4 linked regions of the Oryctolagus cuniculus genome follow. The main gene of each other region encodes a partner of the protein of the gene in region 2 in a complex. Links are inferred from orthologs where the notes say so. Each region holds a gene or a part of one and is shown on either strand. Other genes may lie near its edges.

Evidence for each region.
Region 1: DNTTIP1 (region 2) and SAP30 share a complex: the UniProt entries of both Homo sapiens proteins name them as parts of the histone deacetylase complex. The link is inferred for Oryctolagus cuniculus from reciprocal best matches to the Homo sapiens genes DNTTIP1 and SAP30.
Region 3: DNTTIP1 (region 2) and ZNF541 share a complex: the UniProt entries of both Homo sapiens proteins name them as parts of the histone deacetylase complex. The link is inferred for Oryctolagus cuniculus from reciprocal best matches to the Homo sapiens genes DNTTIP1 and ZNF541.
Region 4: the proteins of DNTTIP1 (region 2) and MIDEAS are in contact, whole or in part, in a cryo-EM structure (PDB 6Z2J), measured with the Homo sapiens proteins. The link is inferred for Oryctolagus cuniculus from reciprocal best matches to the Homo sapiens genes DNTTIP1 and MIDEAS. Residues at the interface, in NP_443183.1 of Homo sapiens: Pro63, Ser66, Leu69, Leu70, Ala72, Val73, Leu74, Pro76, Ser77; in NP_001036783.1 of Homo sapiens: Gln768, Asp771, Leu772, Thr774, Ala775, Ser778, Ser779, Ile802, Leu803, Leu806.

The regions. Positions count from the first base shown.
Region 1 is NC_091433.1:55,750,108-55,754,223, reverse strand, and holds the start of SAP30 (histone deacetylase complex subunit SAP30), read right to left. Parts: upstream 2,824-4,116; 5' UTR 2,486-2,823; coding exon 2,171-2,485; intron 616-2,170; coding exon 490-615; intron 101-489; coding exon 2-100; intron 1-1. UniProt on the Homo sapiens protein: Involved in the functional recruitment of the Sin3-histone deacetylase complex (HDAC) to a specific subset of N-CoR corepressor complexes. Capable of transcription repression by N-CoR.
Region 2 is NC_091442.1:13,590,839-13,594,396, reverse strand, and holds part of DNTTIP1 (deoxynucleotidyltransferase terminal-interacting protein 1), read left to right. Parts: intron 1-1,486; coding exon 1,487-1,555; intron 1,556-1,759; coding exon 1,760-1,816; intron 1,817-2,064; coding exon 2,065-2,123; intron 2,124-3,329; coding exon 3,330-3,378; intron 3,379-3,558. UniProt on the Homo sapiens protein: Increases DNTT terminal deoxynucleotidyltransferase activity (in vitro). Also acts as a transcriptional regulator, binding to the consensus sequence 5'-GNTGCATG-3' following an AT-tract.
Region 3 is NC_091449.1:10,086,243-10,090,451, forward strand, and holds the start of ZNF541 (zinc finger protein 541), read left to right. Parts: upstream 1-1,403; 5' UTR 1,404-1,510; intron 1,511-2,593; 5' UTR 2,594-2,738; intron 2,739-4,209. UniProt on the Homo sapiens protein: Transcription regulator which is essential for male fertility and for the completion of meiotic prophase in spermatocytes.
Region 4 is NC_091451.1:19,957,806-19,962,129, forward strand, and holds the start of MIDEAS (mitotic deacetylase-associated SANT domain protein), read right to left. Parts: upstream 2,803-4,324; 5' UTR 2,625-2,802; intron 1-2,624.

The sequences.
Region 1 (4,116 bases), on a different chromosome or scaffold from region 2:
CCTCAACAAGCTGTGCTTTATTAAGTCCTGGTCTGGTTGGTAGCTTGAAGTGTCTTTTGTATCTCCTAAGCGTATTTACTTGTAATTGGTATAAATCAACCTAGAAAAAAATTTACACATATGAATTAGTCCATACTGTTTTTTTAAAATTTACCACTGATAGGTTCAAGAACAAAATTTCAACTTCAGCACAATACAAACTTAACTCCATGGTTTATATATAAACACTTTAATCTTTCTGGGATAAATACTATAAACTGGTGGTGGTATTATATATTATATATATGAATAAAATTCTAATAGTTGTCAACTGAAAATATAATAATTCAAACTGTATAACTTTTATTAACTGGGTATATTTAACTTTGCTTTCATTTCCAGATTTCTCAAATGTTTTAAATGTTTAAAAAATTTCCTCAAATGTTTTTATAAAAATTTCAGAATGAACTACTTAGGAGTTACATTAAACATACAAAAATTTTCATCTACCTCTGGCGTGTCAATATCTTGAACAGGTGAATCACCTCCATCATCATCACTGCCTTTTCTCTTTCTTCTGTTTCGAACACTCTGAATTAAATTTTTATGATAATCACAAATGTAAAGATGCCTTGCCTGAAACAGAAAGAGTTCACAGACTGCTTATTTTACAGTAAAATGTTTCTGTGCATTAATACACACATAGGCCACAGGGAATTATTGAAAACAGTCAAAACAAGCCATTGGTAAGACAAGAGTATGTTTCTAGTCTTAAATCCTAGGCCTTGTTAAACCAGATGTCTGGCAATACAGAGCGGAGTGGGAGGAGGAAGAGTGTAGTGCCACTTGGGGGAGGGACAGAGGCAGAAAAAGGAGAATGAGAAATTCCAGTCCTCTGGGTTTTGTCATCAAATTGCAAAGGTTGACCTGAATTAGTTATTTCAGGCTGGATTTTTAACTGGCAAGGGAGAAGATGATGTTGACCACAATTCTGTTACCTGATAGTATTTTCCGCTTAAAGAGCAAACTTAAGTAGTACCATGCATGCTTTCCAATCTAATTTACTACCCAAATCATATTACAGGCACAACATTTTCCAAACTAGCTATTAATTTTTATCCTATATTTAAATTTCAATTATAAATTTTTCTAAGTATTAAATCAATGTATTTGTATGTGATACAAAGTAATCTGAAATTATTCAAATTCACCTGAAAAGTTTCTCACGAATACCACTAAAGAGCTGTTTAAAACAGGCAGAAAATGTCACAATAAACTTTTCAAAAGCTTTAATTACATATTTTCATGAGAATTGTATAGCGACACGGAAATACTGGGCTTCATATTTTGACAGCTAATTCCTTAAAAAAAAAAAAAAGGGCTGAGCTAACAGGCTTGACAATTTTCAAGCTAAGCCTCAGTTAAAAACATGCAGGACGCGCGCTAGGTTCTGACAGCTTGGTATTCATTGATTGCCAGCCAGAACTCCGAAAAGTAGCAATGGGTGTTTCTAAAACCCTCCCAGTCGGTCAAAAGAACAGAAAACGGAATCCTGATGGCTGCCAAGCGAATGGCAAGACCGCAGAGGCTACGTGCTCCCACGTTCAGAGTAGCTGCGGAGCAGCTGACACTGCAAACACGGTGTACAGCCCCTGCGCCGCGCGAGGCGGCAGGGTGGGGGGATCTCGCTCTGTGTTCCGGACCAAGGACCTTCCTGGGTGTAAGGTCCGATTGGACTCCACTTTCCCCAGAGTAGGGCAGCTACTTCACCCTGGGGCCACACGCCAGCTCGGGCAGCACAACAAAGGCTCCTCCATTCCAAGAAGGGGTTGCCGGGCTGCAAGAAAACTACTCCGGGTGCTCCGTGCGACCTGCCCCTTTGTTTCGATTCCCGATTGCAGCAGAGGAGGAAGAGGGAGGACTGCGCGGGAGAGACGCATGCAGCGGGAGGTCGGGGGGTGGGGAGAGGAGGAGGAGGAGGGGCACCGCAGCGTGTGTTTTTGCGTGTTGGGGGTGGCGGTCGGAGTTGCAGTGACTTTGTTGTTTGCTCCCGAGCTAAGACTTCGCAAGTCCGCACTGCAGCCAGGTCGGGGGTGGGGGTGGGGGTGGGGGTGGGGGCTGAACCTTGCCAACAACCCGTGTCTTTGCCCAGCTGCTGGAGCCCCACAGGGGCGGTCCCGCCGTCACTTACGCTCTTATCCAGCTCGATCTTCACCTTCTTCTGGGAGATGCTCTTCTGGATCCTCTTGCTGAAGCTGGCGTTGCCTGCCGCCCGGCCGCACCGCTCACCGTCCTCCCGCAAACAGCAGAGTTGCCCGGGGCCCGGGCCAGCGGCTCCCGGGGGCCCAGCCGCGGAGACCGCGCCGCCTCCTGGCACCTCAGCCCCAGCGCTCGCCCCGTTCCCATTTCCAGCCGAGGCGGCGGCGGCCGCTGCAGCGACCACGGCGGCCACCGCGGCGGCTGCGTCCCCACCGCGGCTCATCTCCTCAGGCGTGAAGCCGTTCATGTCTCCGCGCTCCGAGGCGCCGGCGCCGACAGAAATCCCCGCTAGTCTCGCCGCTCCGCCTCTCTCCGCCAGGTCCCTCGGGCACACGATCCGGCGGCGGCAATTCACTCTGCACCCCAAGTTCGGCGATGGCCCGGCCAAACACGCAATGTCCCCAGCCTGGCGATTACCGTTGGCGCCGGAGAGTGGACAGTGCTGGGGGTTAAGACTCAAGAGTGGGGCAGCACAGGGACCTGGGACCCCGATTACTGTCACATGGAGACTTCAACACTTGGACCGCGGCGCCTCCGCCTCCCTTCGGCCCCTGGACCTGCGCAAGCACGACGCACCCCCCCCCTTCCGCCCCTTCCACTCTGCCGCGAGTTACCACGGGAATTGTAGTTCCCTACTGCGAAGTCGTCCTGAGTTTCGCCCTAATCTGGCGTCCAGTAAACTGGATGAACTACACATCCCAGCATGCATCGCGCCACAGCGGGCCGATTTTTTTTCCAAAGCACAGGGAAAACAGGAGTGTGTGGTTGTGGATTACGCTGTTTATTCTAGTCTCCTGTGTCTCCCTGGAAGTTGGGTGGTGTTTAGCTCCTGGAATTTCGCGGGGTTGGTGTTCAGAGGAAGTCAGCCGACTCTGAGGGGAAGCATAAAGGCGGGTGGGGGAGTAAGTGAGCGTGCAAAAAAAAAAAAAAAAAAGTTTCGGGGCCGTTCTGCGTGTGTGGTAAAACCGTTTTTGGTGAACTATGCTTTTGAGGGAAACCAAACCAAGGAGAATTCAGTCAGCTGGCGCTTTCCAGGTCTTTGAGGTCCTGCAGCTAACACCTCTGCTTGCCTAAACACCTCTTTCTTGCAGCAAATTAACGGGACGACTGCTAGGAAGGAAATGCCTACTTCTTGACAGTGACAGATCCTACTCAAAAATGCCTTTTCTAAATCCTTGTTCGTTCCTTCAGTGTTTCATTCTTAGGTGCAAAAAGCAGGTCGCTTCCTGGGGTAGAATCACTGGCTAGTTGACAGTAACTGGACTACTTTTTCCCTCCATTCCCAACCTTGTCAGTTTCTCCTCGGATGCCTCTGAAGGAAAGAGGCGTCTAGAGGGGCGCGGACTGCAGCGTTCCTAAGTCATTTGGATTGCTCCTCGGAAACTCCCCAGGGGTAGCTCTGCCCAGTGTGGAGAAAAGCCGCATTCTCCGAGCGGACTGCACGGCCGTGTGTGTTGCAACAGGCTCCTGTGAGCGCGCGTGTGTGTACGTGCATGTGCGCGCGTACGTGTGTATGCTTGCATGTGGGAGCGTGCTGGTGGAGGGCGGGTTTGGAGGAAGGGCGTGGCTAATATAAAAGCTGCGCATTAACTGGTAACAGCGCACCGGTTTAATAGTCTTTTTAAAATTTTTGTTGTTGTTGTTGAAAGGCAAAGTTACAGAGAGATTAAGAGAGGCAGAGACAGCCAGAGATGTTCCATCTGCTGGTTCACTCCCCAAATGGCCATAAGGGAGGGACTGGGCTGGAGCCAGGAGCTTCTTCCAGGTCTCCCACGTGGGTGCAGGGTTCAAGCACTTGGGCGATGCACTGCTGCTTTTCCAGGCACATTAGCAGGGAGCTGAATTGGAAGTGGAGCAGCCAGGACTGGAACCATTGCC
Region 2 (3,558 bases):
TGAGCCATCATCTTTGCCTCCCAGTCTGCTGAGCTGGAAGCAGAATGACCAGAGAGTGGCGCTCTCCTCATGCGGGCATCCTACGTGCAGCTGAACCTGTTGGGCCACACTCCTGTCCCTGTCCCATATCTTGACCATCTCAGTGGAGTTGTTCCCTAATCTTCCTTAGCTTTTTTTTTTAATTTATGTATGTATGTATGTATGTATGTATGTATGTATTTGAAGTGCAGACCAACTGGTGGAGAGAGAGAGAGAGAGATCATTCATCTGCTGGTTTACTCTCCAAATACCTAAAACAGCCAGGACTGGGCCAGGCCAAAGACAGGAGCCAGGAACTTCATCTGGATCTCCCACGTGGGTGCCAGGAAACTAAATTCTTGGGCCTGATCCACTGCCTTCCCAGGCGCATTTGCAGGAAGGTGGATCAGAATTGGAGTAGCTGACCTGTAGTGCTGGTATCCTATATGGGCGCCAATTCAAGCTCCAGCTACTCCACTTTTGATTCAGCTCCCTGCTAATGTGCCTGGGAAAATAGCAGAAAAAGGCCCAAATACTTGGGCCCTTGCGCCCACTTGGGAGACCCAGATGGAGTTCTGAGTTCCTGGCTTCGGCCTGACACAGCCCCAACAAGTACAGCCATTTGGGGAGTGAATCAGCAGACGGAAGATCTCTCTCTGTCTCTCCATCTCTCTATATATAACTCCACCTTTCAAATCAATCAATCTGTTTCGTTTTGTTTTCTGAAAGGAAAGTAAGAGTTGCTCAAGTTGGAAACCTCCTGCCGAGCAGCCAGGAGGGGGTTCCAAGGAAGACCGAAGGGCTGGTGGTAGTGGAGTTTTTAAGCTCAATCTTGGGGAAGAAACTGTCAATCAGTACAAGGCAGGGACAAATCAAAATCGAAAGAGCTGATTTATAGTATAATTCTTTGCACTGCCTGGCTTGCCCATGATAAAACATTTTGCTCTTTCTGTAACTCTGCCTTTCAAATAATTAAAAAAAAAAAAAAGAAAGAAAGAAAGAAATGTGCACAAGGGAAAGGCAATGCCAAAAAAGTCTCATCCAGTGTGCAGTCCCATCTCTAAAAGTGGAAGCAGGGGCCGGCGCTGCGGCACAGTAGGTTAATCCTCCACCTCCGGCACCGGCATCACATGGGCACCAGTTCTAGTCCTGGCTGCTCCTCTTCCGATCCAGCTCTCTGCTGTGGCCTGGGAAAGCAGTAGCAGATGGCCCAAGTCCTTGGGCCCCTGCACCCACGTGGAAGACCTGGAGGAAGCTCCTGGCTCCTGGCTTCAGATGGGCTCAGCTCTGGCCATTTCAGCCATTTGGGGAGTGAACCAGCAGACGGAAGACCTTTCTCTCTGTCTCTCCCTCTCTCTGTCTATAATTCTACCTCGCAAATAAACAAAATCTAAAAAAAAAAAAGTGGAAGCAGAGTATGCTTACCTCCCAGAAGAGTGACCGTCACCACTTCCTCTTTTCCCTTCAGGCTAAACTGCTGTTTTCAGATGGAGAAAAAGTGGTACCCAGATTGACCCATGAGCTTCCAGGGATAAAGGTCAGTCACTGTGTCTTGGGGTCCCTGAACAGGAGGCAGGTGAAATGTGTGGGCCCAGGGAGGTTTCGCCTCTCCTCCTCCACACCATTTGTAGGGCTGCTGGGTGGGCTTCCGGGGCCTGGGTCAGGGAGTCTGGTGGGCCCCCATCAGGGGGCCTGCAGCCAGGTCCTGGCTTTCCACCGACTGCCTTCCCTTTTCCTCCAGCGTGGCCGGCAGACAGAGGAGGAGTGTGCCCATCGAGGAAGCCCCATTCCCAAAAAGGTAAGCCACTTTTCATCTCATTTCGGCCGGGAAGGGGTCCCCGGCTCCAGGTGATGGGGCTGGGCTTCCTCGGTGCACCTCCGGGCCTTTCTAGGCACGAGAGGCAGAAGCCCAGAAACTCGCTTTCCCGCCCCCTTCAAGCATCGCTCGATCTCTGAGGAAAACCATCTCTACCGAGTGGTCCTTGACCTGCGGTAGGGTGGGGCTTCCCACGGGATCAGGCCACTGACAACTGTTCTTTGTGGCAGAGGAAAGGACGGCCTCCCGGACACATCCTGTCAAATGACCGGGCAGCTGGCGGCATGGTGTGAGTAGAGGCCAACGGCGTGGTGCAAGCCACAGGGAGCAGAGGGCGGGAGTGGCCCGGAGGGAAGAGGCCAGAGCTCTTCCCTGGTGAAATGGGACGCGTGTGTTTGAGTCGCGTGGGGGGTGGGACACTGAGAAGGAAGTTGTTTGATCCTGTTTCTGCCCCTGAACACTTTGGCCCAACCTGATTAAACCCCAGAGTGGTTTCACTGTTAGTGTACATTGAATGCCCATAACTGACCTGAGCGATCGAAATCCCGTTTATACTTGCCTTTTCATCCTTACAGCCGCCCTCTAAAGGTATCATTTTATAATTTTGCAGATAAGAAAATGGAGAATTAATTACTCACACCCATGCAGTTAATTGGAAGCAAAACGACTACATTGTCACAGGGTGGTTATTTTCAAAGATTTCTTTTAAAGACTTCACTCCTTAGAGCAGTTTTAGGTTCACAGCAAAATGGAAAGTTACAGAGATTTCCCATTTATCCCTTGCCTCTGCACATGCACAGCCTCCCCCTGTATCCATGTCCGACATCTGTTACAAGTCAGGAGCCCACTCTGACTCTCCCTGTGCCCCCGAGGCCACAGCTGACCTCGGGCTTCACTGTTGGTTGTGTGCATTCCGTGAGTTTGGGTAAGTGCATGATGATATGTGTCCACCCTTGTAGGATCATACAGCATATTTTACTGTCCTCTGCCTGTTCCTCCCTCCCGTTCCCCTACCCCTGACCATCATCAAAGATTTTGAAAGCTGCAGAATCTTTTTTTCCAAACAGAACTTTACATGGAAGTCTGTTATATCAAGCGGATAAAGCCACACTGATCTAGTTAAAATGGAGCTACCAGCCTAGGAGATGGAATTGTATTACTCTCTCCATACTTTAAATTTGTCTCCTACCTAAAGCAATTTTGTATCTTGTAAAAGCAGGAAAGGGAGGGAGTTGTTGCTCTTGGCTCCTTTTGACAGAGAAAGCTGTACCTGGAAATGCAGGCCTTGCCTGTGGCACTGTGTGGCAGCAGAGCTAGCACTGGAGTGGCTCCTGGTCCAGAGCTTTTTCTCCTTTGTACCTCCACTAACGGTCGCCAGGAAGAAGTGAACCCAGGCCTAACGTGACGGCGTGAGGAACCCTCACTGTCACCAGTGAGCTTTCCTCCAGTTCTCGTGCTCACCTTGGAGAATTCACCTTTCCTTCTTCCTTCCAAGCAGATGGAAGCCAAAATCTTGTGAACCAATTCGCCGGGAAGGCCCCAAGGTATGATCATGTGAGCACGGCAGAGACCCCGTCCCAACAGAGACCTAGCCACAGCTCTGGGCCCACCGTGAGAGAAAGAAGCTAGGGTAGCGAGGGCTGCGTGCTTGTTATTCCACAGCGATCTTACACTCTGGTCTCCAGAGAGGATCCCACAAGGAACTGAGATTAGAGGGAAAGTAA
Region 3 (4,209 bases), on a different chromosome or scaffold from region 2:
TGCTAGCCCACGTCTCACGGCAGGGTGACGGGTCAGCTCCCAGCTCCAGCTCCTGACTCCGGCTTCCCACTAACGCAGATCCTGGGGGGGCAGCGGGTCCCTGCCAGCCACGTGGGAGACCTGAATGCTGCACTCCTGGCTTCGGCCCAGTCCCACCCTGGCCGTGCAGACATCTGGGCTGTGAAACAATGGGTGCGTGCTCTCTGCCAGTCTCTGGGTCTTGAAAAGCTATGGGGATGTTTGTCTGACCCAGGCATGGCTTCTCTCAGCACTAGAGCGCAAACTCAACAAAAACACAAGCTTTATCAGGGCCTCCGTGAGGGCACAGTAAGCCCTGGTGGAGTCCCTGCTCCACCACCGATCCAGCTCCCTGCTAATGCTTCCAGGAAGACAGAGGAAGATGGCCAAGGGCGTGGACCTCTGCCGACCACGTGGGAGACCCGGATGCAGGGCCAGGCTCCTGTGGCCATCTGGGGAGTGAACCAGTGGGCGGAAGCTCTCAGCCTCTCCCTTTCTCTTTGTCACTCTCCCTTTCAAATAAGTAAGTCAATCTTAAACGTTGAGGTCTTCTTACAAGGCACGCATTTCCCTCGGATAACACTACAGTGTTTGGCACATTACAGAGACACGTGACCATCCCTGTCACCTAGCTTTAGAAAATTCCCGCCACCATCGCCCCCCGGAAGACCCCTCGCACCCCCAGGCAACCTGCTAATTTGCTCTAAGTCCCCACCCATGTTCAAGTTCTCAGGCACGACCCCTTTTCCCCCAAGCTCAGCCGCTGGGGTTCAAGCTCCGGGGCCCGGTCAGCAGCCCCTCCCCCGGGGCCCAAAACCGGCAGAGCTCAAGTCCCCGCCACATGCTCCCGCCCCGGAGAAGGGCAGGACTCCGTGCCTCCCGCGACCCCTGCCTGGGGCACACGAGCCGCAGCTTTCCCGGGTGGGGGGGTGGGGGGGCACGGCAACCCTCCCCGTGCGGCCTCCCCAGGCGGAAAAGCACCAGGCCACCGCCACTGCGTTCTAACGCCGCCCTCCAGGAACAATGGCCGCAGCCGAAGGTCCCCGGCCTCGTCGTACGGGTCGTAGGGCGCCGGCCCCTCCCCCACCTCCCCCGCAACCCCTTCCCCGTCTCCTTCACACTCTCCAGCCTCAACCGATTCCCCGCTCCCAAAATGGCGACCAACCGCCTCCTTTCCCGCCCGCGGCGGGTCACCTGACCTTGGCAACGCCCCGCCCCCTCGCGCGGCCCCGCCCCTCGCGCGAGCCGCCGAGTCTGCGCGGGCGGGCGTGCGGCACGCGCCGGCAGCCAGGGCGACGCGAGGCCGGCGCGAGGCGGCTGGAGGCGGCCCGCAGCCACGCCCGCGCGCTTGCGCCGCGGGGGAGCGGGGCGCTCCGGGGGCGACCGGGGCTGCGCGTGCGCGCCGGGCGGCCGGGCGGCGCGGGGACGCTGGGAGCCCCGCGAGGCACGAGGCGCGAGGCGCGAGGCCCGGCGCGCGAGCCCCCGGGGGCGGGTAAAACCCGGTTGCTGCTGCCCCTGCCCCCTCCCCTTCCTTCCTGCCCCCCTTTCTTGCCCCTTCCTCTTATTTCACCCCCCTCCTCCTCTGACACCCGCCCTCGTTCCTGTGTTTCCTTTTTAGGGGGCCCGTCTCCCTCTCGAGGGGCGCAGCAGGCGCGGCGGGCGCCCCGTAGCCCGCGTCACGCACGCACCTTCTGCACCCCAACAGCTCCCGGCCCCGCTGCACCCCCGCAGCGCCTCGCCTCTTGGAGGAGCCTCCTTGGGGGCCCCGGGGCCCGCTGCACCCCCCTTTCCCTTCCTTCCCCGCCCCCGAGGCCCCAACTGCCCCCCGCAGGCCCCCCAGCTCGCGCGCGGGCCCTACCCGACCTCCGCACTTTCTGCACCTCGGCCTTGCAGCCGCTGTCCCCCCTGTCCAGGCCCCTTCTGCTGAAAGCCCCTGGCTCCCCAGCAGCCCCCTCCGCTGTAGGGGACCCAGCTGGGTCTCGCTTTAGAATCTTCCAGCAAAACCAAAACGCTCTGGGGGGTCTGCCTTTGGCTGTGCCCCTCCCCCACGCCTCGTAGGAATTTTCCCTGGCCAAGGAAAAATCGTATTTATATCCAAGCTTGACCCCGCCCGTCCATTTAGGATCACTTTCCAGCAAAAGCGATTTTTTTTTTTTTATCAGCTAGAGATTCCCCCTGGGGAACATCTTTCCACTTAAACAGCCCCGTACTTCCAGCCTCTCTCTCTCCTTTAATATTTTATTTTTCCAACACTCTCCCTCCCTGCCCCCCAAAAAAGTTTCCAAAAAAATCCCTTTTCGCCACCAGTTTCACCTCTCCCGCCCCCCGCCCCCCCCCCCAATTTGGCTTCTCCCAACAAAACCAAGTCCCATCCCCCTGGGGGAACAATAAGGAAACAAATAATAATTTCCTCTTCCTTGCGCCGCCTCCCAGACAGCCCCAGCTCGGTGTTGCTTTCTTGCTTCTTCGGAACATTGACCTTCTCCCCCTCCACCCCCCGGTTTCACCTCTGCGGCCTTGTCTCTTTGGGGACCCAAGTTCTGATTGGGCCTCCCTCTCCACCCCGTGTTTTTAGGGCAGTAGAAATTGGATGAGTGTCCTGACATGACCACCCGGCTTCTGAGGCAGTAGCCAGTGCTCTGACAGCCACCTGCACCCCCTCCCTGTAGGGCCCGAGTTGGACCCCGCCGCTCCCGGGAGATTGCCTCATTCCTCTCCTGGTGAGTTTCCTCCCTTTGGGCTTGCCCAAAGACACCCACCTCTCACACGAATTGGAGGCCCCATGCAAGGTGCTGCTTTGGGAAGTCGGATAAGGAGAAGGGTTTTTGATCCACATGTTGACCTCTGGGGAATGCAAACTTGACTGCATTGATTATATCTCATTGTTGTTTCCAAAAAAAAAAAAAAGGTTTTTCCTTCTCTGGCTCAGGTAGCAAACCAGATACTTAGAGGGTGGGAAGGTAGAGGATGGTAGTAGTAGGTTTTGTGGTGAACTGAAGATCAGGTGCCCCATCTGGTTGACGCCAATGTGAAGGTAGCCACGTGGAAATACCAGGCCGGCATTGGCAGAGTTTTGATTTTTTTTTTTTTTTTGGGAGGAGAATCCAGAAAATGATGTGAACTTTTCTAATTTTTGTTTTAGTGTCTTTAAAAAGAACCTGTATTTATCCAATACACCTGGTTGTAATGTGAACCACATATTTAGTTATCTAAGAATGGAATACCAGTTTGGAGTTTGGGGTTAAGGATTCTTTGTTGTGTTAAATTTCACCCGCTTAGGCACATGCGTACATGCAAGATGTGTCTCCTTGAAGCAGTGCTTCTCAAACTTTGGCTCTGAAGACCCCTAAGGCTTAAAAAAATCATTGAGGATCCCAGAGAATTTTTGTTTACGTGAACTATACCTACCGGTATTTACTGTGGTAGAGGTGTAAACTAATAAACTCTCAAGGCATTTATTAACTGATTTAAAGTAGCAATCATAAACCCATTACGTACAAATGTAACTGATATTTTTATTAAAAAAAAAACATTTTGGAAAAGCCCGTTGAGAAGGACAGCAGTGATTTCCCTCTAACGTGATCTGGACTCTTCGATCTGCTTCTGCTTCCTGGTGCCATCCTCTGGGAAGCGTCACTGGGAACGCAAGAGGCAGGAACCGTCGGAGTATTCTTACGAAGGGCTGTTGACCTCACCCACTCCCTGGACGGCTCCTGAGAGTCCTGAGGAGTCCCCATTCCACCTCACTGTGAAGATTACTGTTGTAGATGTTAATACTTATTCGCATTCTCTGTAAAAGTAAGAAACTCCCCCCCCCCCCACTTAACCTCTGGGTCAGTTAGTATCCTTCTGTTTAGTCTATGTCTTCCTTTTCCCCAATATAAGCTTTAATTCCACTCTTTTAATGAGCATCAGAGGAGCTGAATTGGTTAATTCATCTAATTCTGGTTGAAATTATACGTTGGGGGCAGTGTTTGGCCTAAGACGCCCAGCATCCTATGCTGGAGGGCCTGGGTTTGGGTCCCAGCTCTGCTCTCAATCCCAGATTCCTGCTTTTGTGCACAGGGAGGCTGTAAGAGTTTGGGTTCCTGCCACCCACACTGGAGACCTGTGTTGAGTTTCTTGCTCCTGACTTTGGCCTGGCCCATCCCCTGCTGTCGTGGGTATTTGGGGTATGAACCAGTAGGTGGG
Region 4 (4,324 bases), on a different chromosome or scaffold from region 2:
TGCAGGGCAAGCTCGGAGTGCAGAGGCTCAGCCTTGCCAGCCAGGGAAAGGGCCCGAGTGCACGTAGCCATCTGCCAGGCTGAACTGAAGATGCGGGTGGTGACTGCTCCCTAACTCCACAGGAGCTCGGCTTGCTTCCTTCCCCGGCTTTGGCAAGGGGCCGCTCCTCATCGCTCTCCCAGCCACGCGCCAGCGGTCTCTGGGCACCTTCAGACTCTGTAAGCTCTATGTGGACAAAAAGGATTGCAACTCATAGCTCCCTTTGCTTTGGGCATAGAAGACGACGCACCCCTCTCCTGCCACTCAACACTAGTGCGGGCTCCAGAAGGCCCTTGCTCAAGCAGTCCTGGCCAGGTGAAGCAGCTAGCCAGGGCCTTGAGGGTCAAGTTCAGTAATGACCCGAATGTCCTCAAGGCAGGGGGCTGTGCAAGCTGTGCTGACCCCTACTGCCCGGGTGCTTCTGTCCTCAACCTCGCTCCCGACTGTCCTCATCGTATGCTTGTCCACGAGTCTTTGGAGACGCATGGGTACCTGCTAGGTACTGTGCCTTAATGTTGGGATCTGATAAATGGTCGCTGTGTCAGTAACAAGCAGCTGGCACAGGGCTGCAAAACAGCGTCTGCCACCCAGATGAAGCCTGGGTGTGTGGTTGGAGAGCAGGGCAGGCATGGAGGAGCCCCGGCGTGCCTGCCGCTCTGAGCACACAGGCTGCCTGTGCACAGCTGTAGGGCGGTGCCACTGGGTCACCAAGCTACCTGGCAGGGCCGAGCGCTGCCCTGCGAGTTTGTCTGCCTAGGACAGGGCGAGAGCACACTGAGCGTGGGGGACGTGGGGAGGATGGCCCTGCGCAAGCCCCGCTCGCACTTCCCAATTGAGTTGTAAACCCCTCTACCACAGGCAGCTGCCCAGGAAGCCCTCAGGAAGAGCTGGGCTCCCTTCCTGCAGGGCACGTGAGGGCCCACAGCACTGGCCATGCTGCACGCCTTGCTCAGGAAGCTGGCCCAGGGGCTCCTCTGGAGAAAATGTCCATGAGTCACTTCCTCGCCAGCCTTGCCCCTGCCCCAGACACCGTCACAGAGTCTCAAAGCCGCAGCCAAGAATACACGGAGTTAGGACCCGCCCACGGAGTTTCTGCAGATGATAACTTCAAGGGTTGAAGTTTAGCCGGCCAGCTCGGTCCCACAGGGTCTGCGAGCTCTCTTTAGGAGGCCCCGTTGCAGACACCCCTGCATTTTTGCTCATTCACACAGCTTTCCGGTTGAGGGAGGGTAACACCCATCTCCTAGCTCCTTTTCCTGCTGACGTCACCCCACGTTTTTCTCCGGACACAAATAAGGGTACAGTTCCTGGGTCAGTGTTCACGCTACCCAAGGTAGGAAAGAGTGGTGGGATCCTGCCGTCCGGAGGCGTTCAGCAGGCTGTCAAAGGTGGAGGACAGAAGCAAGGAAATCAAACACCTCGCTAAGAAGGCATAGAGAACTTGGAGCCTGCAGCCTGGGCCCAGATCTGTCCTGGACATTGGCAACGCAAAGCTGCGTTTCGTTCGCCACCACTAACGTCTTGCACAACAGCCTGTGTATAAACATCCACGCCAACAATGCCCGACTGTGCAATCACGCCGTAATTACAGGCCGGCAGGAAGCTGCTGCTAGCAACTGCACCATTCTGCCTCCAGACAGCCCATCCCGGAGTCTCCAGGCTCCGACGCACAATTCCAGCGCACACCGACGTGGCTGGGCAGTCGCCGCCGCCACCGCGGCGTCCAGGCCAGGGCGCGCGGCCCGCCAGCCCGGGCTCGCTCTGCAGGGATGTCACGAACTTCCCAGCTGCGCCACGAGGCTCCCCCAGGGCGGCGGGAACTACCCGGCACAGCCCTGCAGCCCCACAGTTTTAGGAAACACACACACACACACACACGTACGCACGCACGCGATGCCACGGAGTCCGGTGCAAGCGGCTCTCCGAGTTTTATATAGAAAACACTCCCATCTGTACGTGGGCGCGCTGACAGTTTTTATGGCTACATTGCAAAGTGTTAGGCCTTAGCCATTACGGTCGGCTCCGGGCCGGGGTGGGGGAGGGGGCCGGGTGGAGGGGGCTTGGAGGGGGTTAAGCGGTGGGCGTGCGAGGGCGGCTAGGGTTCTGTTTTCTCGAAGCGCCTCGGGTTGTTTTTCCCAAACTTCTGAGTTGCTCCGCTCCGCGACACAGGAGGGCCGAGCAAATAAAAGTGGGGGGAAAGTTCCTTCAACTTCCTTCCCGCGAGCTCGCGGAGGGCTGCGGAGAGGAAGCACCAGGCGGGGGCCGGGGGGCGGCTGCGTCCAGCCTGCGGGGAGCGGGGCACGGCGCCGAGAATCGCTCCAGACCTAGGCCCCGGGAAGCCCCTTCCCCGCACCGCTCCCCTCGCAAGCCGCGCCCGGAGCGAGCCCTGCTGCAGCCCCTGGGCTGCTTTAGGTCCCGCGGTAGGACCAGCGGCGACACAGGGGCGCAGCCGGCGGCCCCCGACCCGCGCCGCCGCGCGACTCCCCTGCAGCGCCCGGCCCGGCCCGGCCCGCCACATCCCCCACCCGCACGGCCAAGCCCGAGACCCCGGCGGCGCGACGAGGGGCGCAGAGCTCGTGGCTCACCTGTGCGCTGGATCCGCGGTGGGGTGGCTCGGAGGGCCGCGGGGCGCAGCAGAGCGCGGCCCGCAGGCTCAAACTTTGTTGCTGTCGGGACGGCTCAGTCGTCACTTCCTAGCCGAGCGGGCGGCGCGGCCCGGCTGTGACCCAGCAGCTCGCGCGGCGGCGCGCGGGGCCCTGCAGCCGCCCGCCCCGCCCGCGCCCGCGCCCGCGCCCCCGGCTCCGCGCCCAGGGCCCCCGGCGCCGGCTCTGGGCTGGCCGCGCCCTCCGCTGCGGGAGCCCGCGACCGGGCTGCACCCCCGCGCCGGTGGGGAAGTGCGGTCGGTCGGAGGCGCCGCGCTGAGCCCTGCTCTCCGGCGGGTCCGGAAGGTGGTGTTAGGAGCCCCGGGGGCTTAGCTCGGGGGAGCCCAGGGCAGCCAGAGTTCCAGGAAAAGCACACACAAAGGGGTGGGGGGAGAGAGAAGAAAAAAAGTTGTTGTTTGGTATTGGGGCCAGAAATCCCGTGAGGACGCGGTTCCTGCCGAGTTTTCCGGGCTCCTGCCAGAACAGGGCCTTCACACGCGGGTCTCCAGCCCCTGCCTCCCCTGCACAGGCTCCCCAGGGACTGAGGGCGCAGGGCGCCTACCGCGCACCGCGCTTCGGGGGACCTCTTGGAGCTGCAAAGCCGCGTGCGTCCCGCCTCCCGCCCCCCCCGCCCCCCCCGCCGCGAGTTCCTGCTCTTCTGGGCGCTCAGCCCCGGGAGGACCCCGCGCTCGGGCCTGATGCCTTCCCGGTTTCAGCGCCGGCCGAAAGTGGGTTCGCAGGGAGGGTGGAGTCCTGGGAAGTGGAGTTTCAGGCCGTAGCCATTCTGAAATGTGTGCAGGCCCGAAATGCCTTTGCTCTCAGAGTTGAAAATTACAACAAAGGGCCACCTTTTGGGTTTCTGTAAGTAGCTAGCGCTTAGTTAATCGGCGGTGCTCAAGGAAGAATTCCGGATCCCGGAAAGCTGGGAAGAAAATGGGGCTAGCCTTTTGCTGTGTCGGTTGTTTTGTTTTGAAAGCACGCATTGGAAACTGCAGCGGAGGGCTTTCGTAACAGAAACATTAGCCGCCTTGTAGCCTGTCGTGGAAAACAGGGACCTTTAAAAGGTGGTTCAAAAGCCTCAGCGAGGGCTCCACAATTTTCCCTTTTTCCCAAATGCTGCTTCTGCCAGCGCATTGCCCAGATGAAATCTCTCCTTTTTTTTTTTTTTTTTTTTTTTTTTTTTTTTTTTTTTTTGCTACAGCACAGCAAACTGTAGACAAGAGTGCAGGCTTTGTCAAGGAAAGGTGGGTGTTACATGGGCGGGAAAATGACATCTGGAAACCGATCCCCAGGTCTGCTTCTTCAGACCTCCTGGGAAGCTGCAGATTGACCCAGAGATTTGGGAATGAGAGCCAGCCTCCCCTAGCAACGGGAAATCCTCCACGTGTGCTGGCTCTCACTTCTCCCGGACACTGATGGCACATTATGAAGACAAAATGTGTGATGTAAGAAAAATAACACGGCTTTGAGAAATAAATGCATGATTAGGTCCAGCAATTAGAAAGCGCTGACGTTTTTGTGACAGCACACCGTGGTGGGGAGAGGGAGGAGACAGAAGTGATTCCTTGGTGCATTGTGCTTAAGGCAGCCAAGGAGGAGAGACGGTGCTGCCCGGGATCTGCTAAAACAAGAGCAGAGGATTT